2 linked regions of the Arabidopsis thaliana genome follow. The protein of the gene in region 2 purifies or fractionates together with the protein of the main gene of each other region. This does not show direct contact. Each region holds a gene or a part of one and is shown on either strand. Other genes may lie near its edges.

The links.
Region 1: the proteins of AT4G32610 (region 2) and AL4 fractionate together in Arabidopsis thaliana (co-fractionation; one large-scale study listed by BioGRID). This does not show direct contact.

Annotation. Positions count from the first base shown.
Region 1 is NC_003076.8:9,157,795-9,162,486, reverse strand, and holds AL4 (alfin-like 4), read left to right. Parts: upstream 1-1,993; 5' UTR 1,994-2,265; coding exon 2,266-2,362; intron 2,363-2,454; coding exon 2,455-2,487; intron 2,488-3,050; coding exon 3,051-3,279; intron 3,280-3,430; coding exon 3,431-3,563; intron 3,564-3,645; coding exon 3,646-3,921; 3' UTR 3,922-4,169; downstream 4,170-4,692. Other genes in the region: AT5G26200 (Mitochondrial substrate carrier family protein), read right to left, coding at 4,191-4,692. UniProt on the Arabidopsis thaliana protein: Histone-binding component that specifically recognizes H3 tails trimethylated on 'Lys-4' (H3K4me3), which mark transcription start sites of virtually all active genes.
Region 2 is NC_003075.7:15,727,454-15,732,471, reverse strand, and holds AT4G32610 (copper ion binding protein), read left to right. Parts: upstream 1-2,038; 5' UTR 2,039-2,574; coding exon 2,575-2,895; intron 2,896-3,296; coding exon 3,297-3,561; intron 3,562-3,734; coding exon 3,735-4,096; 3' UTR 4,097-4,388; downstream 4,389-5,018. Other genes in the region: AT4G32620 (Enhancer of polycomb-like transcription factor protein), read right to left, coding at 1-504; AT4G32605 (Mitochondrial glycoprotein family protein), read left to right, coding at 4,608-4,781, 4,943-5,018.

The sequences.
Region 1 (4,692 bases), on a different chromosome or scaffold from region 2:
GAAAAATAGTCAATTTTAGATTTTTTTTACCAATTTTAGAAAATTATATGATATTAAGAAATTAATGATTTTTTAGAATAAAAATTTCTTCACAAGTGTTAGATTTAATTTATTAAATAACATATGTCAAAATGAAAATAATAATAATAATAATATATGTCAAACCAAAACTAATTAGAATCTTGCCATTTGTCGGATTTTGTTAGACTTATCTTTGTGCAATAACTTTGCCAAGTTGGATTTTAGTGAGACTTAACTTTATGCAATCCCAAATTTTAATGTTTTTTCTTTAAGATTAGTGAAAGTTTCACATATGTATCTTTCTCGTCCAATTGAATATGTTATTTTCCAAATATAAAGTTTGATAAGCGAGAATTATATCAAGACGATAATAGAAGTTACCTTAATTCAAATTGTGGAAAAATCATATACATATGAGTAATTGGAAAAGTGGAAGATGAGCCGATTTATATAAATTTTGAATTTTGTTAATTGTGAATGTAATAATAACTAGCGAAAACATTAAGAATTTTTATGCAACCGTCAATGATTTCATGGGATCTTTATCAAAAGATCAAATTGAGAAATATTCAATGACATCTGATGCATATCACAATCTTTGAATGCAATATAGTTCAATGCGCTTATCGTCTTGCTTGCATTATTACAGAACTTATTGATGGTATTGGGATTTTGTATCCAGTTTGGGCAAATAAAGCCATCAGATCACTATCTTGCGTGTCTGTGTGACATGTAATGAGTTTAGCTTGGAGACTTCAAGCCCATTTTCTAGAGTCAAATTTAACGTTGCATTTGATTTAGAAAAAAAATCAAAAGAATTCTTGAAGATCTTGAAGTGTACCTCATACAAAGATTAAGGATTCTAGAGGAGGTGTTTGACATTTGAATCTATCAACATTACTACTCTCTCCGTGTCTCTTCAATTCAATTTAGAAAACAAAAATATATTCATTGCTTTAAGTACTTTGTTCAGTAAAACATAGTTCTTATTCTCTTTTATCAGTCTCACTCTCACCAAATTACCTACAAGTTAAGATTTTCTATCCACATAAAATATCAAAATTGAGGACTGAATCATGATTTTATAGATAACACTACTTCAAAATCTTACTATATTGGAATTAGATATGATTCATAAATTCATGAAATCCATGAAACTACAATTTTATTCCTAGTGTATAGTTCGATCTATCAAATTGTATATGGGTTATCGATATATTTGGATGATTGACACGAAAGAACCAAGTATTTTGAATAAACTTTTTTCCAAAATATTAATAATGCATAGTACTTATTAAAAAATCAAAAAGACCTTGAAAAAGAGAAGAGATTGAACTTATTTATCAAACACCAGATCACCAAAAATTTGGTGCGAAAAAGGTATCTAGTAACTAGTAAGACTATTTAAAAGCTCTCATTAATCAAAACCAGACTATTATTACTCTTTTAAAAAAAAGACTAGACCTCGAGTGAAGAAATAAAATTAACAGTCAAACTTATTTCTCAGATACCAGAATACCAAAAATTGGCGCGAAAGACAAAACGAAACCAAAAAATGTAGAACAAAGTCAAACTTATTTCTTAAATATCAGATTACCGAAATTTAAAGCGAAAAACTGAATATTTGATAAACACTTACCGAAACCTCTCACTAATCTAAAATAAAGTATGTATCCCTTACCATGTTCAAAAAGAGCGCGAATGAAAATATAGAAAACGGTCAAATTTATTTCTGAGTTACCAGATTACCGAACATTTACCGCGAAAAACAGAAAAACGGTCAAATTTATTTCGCAGATACCAGATTACCGAACATTTGTTTCGAAAAAACAGAGTATCTAATAAAACTTTCTGCAATCTTACAACCATTACAATTTAATGTATCATTAACACAAAACTCTTAATTTCAAGCTTGATAAACATCTATTACCCGAAAAATAAGCCAATCCAATTAAAAACATATCCATAGATACAACAACAGAAATCAGGAGATACGCGTCAAGATCTAAGAGGATGAAAGATAAAACTTATCGTGCTCTCCTCCTCATCAGATTCATTTTGCGGACTCCTCCTCATCTTATTAAATCCGCTTAATTGTTTTTGGGTCCGCCCTTTTTCTCTTTCACATCTTTCTTTCTCTCGCAAACCCAAATTCTCTCAGCGCCGGTCAAATACTTGTCTCTCTCTCTCTCTCTCTTTCACTCTTGTCTTGTCTCCTTCGAAGCTGTTTGTTCTGTAAGAAAGATGGAAGCAGGTGGCGCGTACAATCCACGCACTGTTGAAGAGGTGTTTAGGGATTTTAAGGGTCGTAGAGCTGGCATGATTAAGGCTTTAACCACTGGTAACAATTTGTTTTTTCTTTCTTCTTATTACTATCTCAGTTTTGTCACCGGAAAAAAACTGAATTTTGAGATTACCCTTTTGTGTGTGCAGATGTTCAGGAGTTTTTCCGACTTTGTGATCCCGGTGAGTGTTGTTGTTCCTTTGAGATTTGATTTGAATTAACGAAAGTTTTGATTTTTATTTGTGTTTTTTGAATTTTTCTATGTTTTGCTCTGTTTTAATCTGAGTGTTGTTGTTTCAGTGAAGCATTTAGGGTTCATAGTCTCTCTCTCTCTCTCTTTTCTGTTTATGATTTTGTTTAGATTTATTTGAATTGCGCTCCAGTGTCGAAAGTATTGATTTTTGTTTGACTTGGTTCGATTGTGTTTTCAACTAAAGAAAAAATTTGTTTGTGATCCTTGTGAGTGTTGTTGTTCCTTCGAGATTGATTCTCGCCGGCGAAAGTTTGGTTTTTTGAATTTGCTTCGTTGTGGTTTGTTTCAATCTGATTGTTGTTGTTTCAGTGAAGCATTTAGGGTTCATAGATTCTATTGTCTCTGTTTTGTGGATAAAATTGTGATTTTGTCAGATTTATTTGAATTGCAGTGTAGAGTTTGAGCGGAGTCAAAGTGTTGATTTTTTGTTTGACTTGGTTTTAATTTAAGGTTTTTTGAACAATTGTCATCATTTTCCTTTTGTGATTATAGAAAAGGAGAACCTTTGCCTTTACGGACATCCAAATGAGCACTGGGAAGTGAATTTGCCAGCTGAAGAGGTTCCTCCTGAGCTCCCAGAGCCTGTCTTGGGTATCAATTTTGCCAGAGACGGGATGGCGGAAAAGGATTGGTTGTCCCTTGTTGCTGTCCACAGTGATGCTTGGCTTCTTGCTGTTGCTTTCTTTTTTGGAGCCAGGTTTGGATTTGACAAAGCTGATAGGTATGTATATCCTTCTCCTCTTTAAGTCTAATCTTCTTACATCTATGTTCCTTGGTGGTATATAGATGCAAGCCTCTCAGTCACTCATTGTTCTACTCCTTCACCGTTTATGTAGCTCTCTGTGATTTATGTTCTTTCACATTTGTTACAGGAAGAGGCTTTTCAATATGGTGAATGACCTCCCAACAATCTTTGAGGTTGTAGCTGGCACTGCTAAGAAACAAGGAAAAGATAAGTCCTCTGTTTCCAACAACAGCAGCAACAGATCCAAATCAAGCTCCAAGGTAGAGACTTTGTTTTCCACTGTACTTCTTCTCTACAGTTTAATCCTTGTACTAATTCTGGTTTCTTTGTCTCACGTTACAGCGAGGATCTGAATCCCGTGCCAAGTTCTCAAAGCCGGAGCCGAAAGATGATGAGGAGGAGGAAGAGGAAGGTGTGGAAGAGGAGGATGAGGATGAGCAAGGTGAAACACAGTGTGGAGCATGTGGTGAGAGCTATGCAGCTGATGAGTTCTGGATTTGCTGTGACCTCTGTGAGATGTGGTTTCATGGAAAGTGTGTTAAGATAACACCAGCAAGAGCTGAGCACATCAAGCAATACAAGTGCCCTTCTTGCAGCAACAAAAGGGCTCGTTCCTAAATTTGTTGACCGCTCGCTTCTGTGTATCTACCTTTGCATATGATGATGAACAGCTTAACTGTTTGGTTTAGATCAGATTTGTCATATGGATTTGGTAATTTAGGAAGACATTTTAGTTTTTTCATTGTTACATTTTGGCGATTGAAGGGATAACTCTTTGTTTAGGGGTAATGATCTTTTGCTCTGTTTTATGTTTGTTTATTAACATTCTTCAAACTCAATCAAAAGTATTTTGGTTAGTCTTAACACAACAAGGTTTTATCAATATATCATTTCTGCTTCTTTGTTGCTAGGCGCTTCAAGAACTCGTAGGTTGTGATCATCGTTGTTGCGGACATCGACATTGAGACCCATCTTGGTCCTAATCCTCTGTAACAAGCACCAACTCCTCCTTCCTTCATCAAGCTCTTCACTGACTGCATCACTGTCATTGCTCGTCTCCTCCCGTTCTCTTCTGCGTCTAAGACTTGCAACCGCGTCTTGATTGTGTCTACTGGCATAGTTACTAAAGCCGAGCAACCGCTTGCTGTAGCTGCACTCAACGCTTGAACCACCACTGAGCCACCAGCATCTTCCTTGTGGTTGTAGGAGTGCTTGTATCGAGACCAAATTGATTTTTGAGCCAAAGAATAAGACGCCCACCAAACCGCGTTGGAAGGTGCGTAAGTCAAGATCGAGATCCCAAATCCTCTGTAGAACCCTCTTGGTCCATCTGTGTAAAGAATCTTTCTAAAAGCATCAAACCCATTTCTGTATCTGCAAGAGTTCATC
Region 2 (5,018 bases):
AACACTAGATTCTTCAGCAGTAACCTTAGGGATATTAACAACCAGCTCCTCCTGACTATCAGACTCCCCTGCAGACTTCTGTGCTAGGCCATTCTCAAACCTACTCCTCCCAACAAAATCTCTCCTGCGTCTAGGAACATAAATCGTACTACTTGCCAAACCAACAGAAATCACTTGAAGCCCATTACTGTCACACAATTTCTCATCCAAACCCACCTCCTTGGAGTCCTCCAAATTGTGCAATATAGTGGTGCCATTGCATGCCTTATCCAGAATACTCTCGTTCTGGCTACCTACTTTCTTAAAACTACTTAGAGAAACAACTTTCCTGCTCTTCTTGTCCTGCTTCAACTGATCACCATCAATCCCAGACCTATGTTTTCTTTTAAAGCTCTTATTCACTGAATCCTTGGAAATGCTAGACTTATAGAGCGTCTTAAGATCTAAAGACCTGGATTTCTTCGAAATTCCCACTCCATTAGAGTTACCTAGTCTATTTTCCATGAAAGCCACCTCGAACCAATACCCAGAATCAAAAGCCAGCAGGTCTCAAATTCCATCATATACGCAAGCAAACATTTTTCAGATCTGTGACACCAAAACCAAACCCAGAATCACAAAAAGTACCCAAAGTATGATAAAAGAAGAACACACAAGTCACCCAAAGAAACAGATCAAATCCCACTTCAGGAAAAAACTTTGCATTGAAATCCAAGCAATTGTTTTTTCAACAATCAAGCAAAATTTAACTGCAAAAAATTAAAAAAAAAAAGAGAGAAATTTGCATGCCTACCTGCATCACTTTATCAGACGAAATCGAGTCTCTTAAGGACCTTTATAGTCGCCACAATCCCAAAATCAAAATTAGGGTTTCGGTAAATCGGACTGCGAATCGGATCCCTAAATCAAACAATCGAAAATTTCCCAAAAGTATTCGTTCAATTTAGCCGAAAATAAAAAAAGCAAAATTTGCTTCTTTTTTTTTTCTTTTTTAACCGGGAGAAACGGGAGAGCTAGGGTTTCGTCTGGTTCCGCGAGAGTAAGGTTTTTTCAGTTATAAAGAAAACATATTCCAAATAAACATCGTATCACGGGTACCGTCCGATGGAGACGCGTTACTATATCTACGGTCCATATTTAGTTTCGAAATAAGCACTAAATTTTTAACTCTGCAACAGAAAAGATATAATGGACGTTCGAGATTCTCAGCTGCGAAATATTTGTTTGGACGGTCAGGATTTAAAGATTTCTTCAGAGAGAATAATTTATTGTTGTCACGTGTGTTGCTAACCTACCGCAATCTTGTGTTTGTCCACCTAGCCAACAATTGTTAGAGACATCATTCAACTTAACAACTATTATTACTAGAATACTAGGGGATAATTTAAGTATAAAATCATCACATTACAGTATTATCTTTTTAATAATTTATATATATATATATATATTATTGTTATTTTCTTTTAATATATAAACTTCATTCATCCATTAGCTTAACAATTTTCCAATATTTTGTAAAAATATATATATACATATTATTAGGAGTTTTCGGACCATATTTAAGTATTAGTGTATTACTACCTTATTATGTGTTTAAATATATATTTTTATTAAATATAGACATATAGCAAAAAGAATTAGTAGTAGAGAGATTGATTGGAATCAATTTTTGATTAATTATATAGTGTAAACTAAGCTTTAAGAATATTTAAAAAATAGATTTGGTTTCCTTATAAATATGAATTAAGGTCATTATTAACGTATCATAAGATTTAGAGCAATGTATAAACACAAGAAGAAAAACAATAAAAGTTCAGAAATTCCTTTTTCGATTCAAAAATACGTTAAAAATTGACAAAATATTTTGGCGGGTGGATTGTATATTGGAACCCAAAATTTGCTTTTTTAATACAGAAAAATAAAATAAAATTGGCTTAATTGGAAAAACTAATATTGAGTTCATAAACCAAATTAAGGTTTAATTAGACAGTCTAATCCAATGTTCGGTTCAATTTTGTAATCAAATGTTCGGTTCAATTTTGTAATCAAATGTTCGGTTTGATGATCCATAAGAGAGGAGATAACATCCCAAATAGAGACAGATCCCCTTCCCTTGTCGTGTAGCCCAGTAGCTCTAATCGCTACGATTGCTACACACCACATCCCTTAAGAAAACCCTAATCATCTCTCTCTCGCATTCTATAGGAATCGCTTCCCGAAGCTTCCAACATTCTCTTGTTTCTCCTTTGTCTCTCAATTTCAGTTTCCTATATTATACGCTTGTATTAATCACCAGTATACATTTTGTCGTTTCTGGGTCTGGAACCCTAGTAGTTATTATAGCATCCATCGCTTTCTTCAATCGCCGTCCATCAGAGTTTCAAGGGATTTGCTTTAAAGATCAATCCTTTCCTAAGAAAATAGCGACAATTCATCAGCTTTTCCTTTCCCATCCTTCATTACCTTAACTTACTCGAGATTCATCTTCCAGCTGAAATTGTGAAACTTCGTTTCTGGGTTTTTATCAGAAAACACTCTGTGACTTATTGTGTGGTGATCGAGGAAAGAAAAAAGATGGTTGGTGGTGGAAACAGGAGAGATGAGGGATCGATGCCGATTCAGAACACCAACTTGTTTGCTGCTTTGGATACTTCGAGGAAGAAGAAGAAGTCTGATAAGGCTGGTAAGAGCAAAGCTTCCTCTAAGAGAGAAGATTCACAGAAGGAGCCTGAGCCACAGGTTTTCTGGGCACCTACGCCTCTCAAAGCAAAGGCTTGGGCTGATATCGATAGCGATGATGAAGATGATGATTATTACGCTACCACTGCTCCACCTCAGTCCCTGTGGAGCACTTCTGAAGCCTCCCATTCAGATGCTAAAGACGTTCCCGCTGAGGTCACAAGTCCAAATCTTTCATATATATGTTGATTTTGGGTTCATCATCATAGCTTTATGCATTTCACATGTTGAAAATTGTAACACTGGTTTAATATGTCTCTTGCAATAAGCCTCTTTAGATTTCAAATGCTTCCACGAATTGAATGAGTTGGCCTTTTTTTCTACTGTTGTTATCTCGCTTAGGCTTAGGCTTGTGTTGTCTGAATTCTGAAAGGGAAATTAATGTTATTGTGAAGTAAGCTGCTTTGTCTCCTGAAGGTTCATATATCTAATTGCATTGTTATCGAAATTTTTCTAGGCAATGTAAGTTTGTTGTGCAATGGTTTCTCTAAACCGTGGTTGTGTGCCTATCTGTTCATTTGTTTCTCATAGAGATGCATTTGATTTCAATGTCGCAGGAAATTGAAAGCGAAGAAGACACTCTTGATGATGGAGATGATGATGATGTGGAGGAAGATCACGAGCAGGGAACAGAGACACAAGTTCATCCAGAAGCAGAGCCTGAGGTGAAAAAGGCTCCTGAAGTTCGTGCTCCTCCTAAGGAGGCAGAGAGGCAACTTTCCAAGAAAGAGAGGAAAAAGAAGGAACTTGCTGAGCTTGAGGCTTTGCTAGCAGATTTTGGAGTTGCAACCAAAGATGAGAATGGTCAACAAGACTCTCAAGGTATAGCACAATTTCACTTTACTATATTCACTCGTTGGTAACAATTCTACTCTACTCTATTCACTCGTTGGTGATATTTATCTGTGGATACCTTTCTACGCTGAGGTATCACTGGCTGAGAAAACCATGTTATGGCTAATACTGATAGACGTTTCTTCTGCAAATATGAACAGATAAGGGGGAGAAGAAAGAAGTGAATGATGAGGGAGAGAAGAAGGAGAACACAACCGGAGAATCAAAGGCCTCAAAGAAGAAGAAAAAGAAGGACAAACAGAAGGAGCTAAAAGAATCCCAGAGTGAAGTGAAGAGCAACTCGGATGCTGCAAGTGAGTCCGCTGAGCAGGAGGAGTCTTCTTCTTCCATCGACGTCAAAGAACGGCTAAAGAAGATTGCATCAATGAAGAAGAAGAAATCAAGCAAGGAGGTTGATGGTGCTTCAACAGCTGCTGCAAAGGAAGCAGCTGCGAGGAAGGCAAAGTTGGCCGCAGCGAAGAAAAAAGAAAAGAAAAACTACAATCAGCAACCTGTGAGGTGAAGAAATCAATCCACCCACCGTTGTGATATGAACATAGGTTTTGTTCATATGAGACTTACTTGCCTTGAACAAATCTTTTGATGGGGAATGTGGTTGGGTCGTGTTTTAGAGTTATGATAACTTTGGATCTTTTAATCCTATCACAATGGAACATGACAAGAAGAAACTCTGTTTGAATTTTTCCTTTTACATACATTCTTTGCTCATCATGGTTATACTTGGATTTGTTTTATCTCCCACAACAATTTCTACTTCTTGATCTTACATATTATTAGTTGTGGCTAAGCCAGCGCTTAATAAAGTTAATCTATGAGTCTGAATCGACAAAATCAATTGATTATTTTAATTATATGTTTATCAAACGAATTAGATCATATTTTTGACAAACCTAAATAGGTATATTTCTCTTGCGGTTTATTCGACGAAAAAGAAAAGTTGGTACAGTATTTATTTTACTCTCTTAAGACAATTCGTCGTGTTGCTTGCTACTCTCGACGACGGAGAAGTAGAAATGTGGAGAAGAGTGATCGGAAATGTCGCCGTCCGGCATCAATTACAGCGAGCGCTATCTAGTAAAGCCGGTGGAAGTGGAAAGAGCGCCAACGTTTCAGCTGCAGTGGATTCGATGCTTCTGCGTTCCCTCAAGGAACATTACTTAGAGGTTTCTAAGATGACTCCTCCTCCGGTTCGTTCCTCCTCTTCTCTCTCTCTTTCTGTGTTTTCTCTCTATGTCTCGTCTTAGGTACAACTGAAATTTCAGTACTGTTACTTAAACCCTAGCTTAGCTGCTGCTTCCTCCACTTAGGGTTTATGGTGGGATTTACAGATTTTTGATTGATTTTGCAGAAAGTGAGTCCTCCGTCACCATTTGAGATTGTGAAAGGGTCGCTTGAAGGAAGTACTGGTGCTGTTCTGAAGAAAT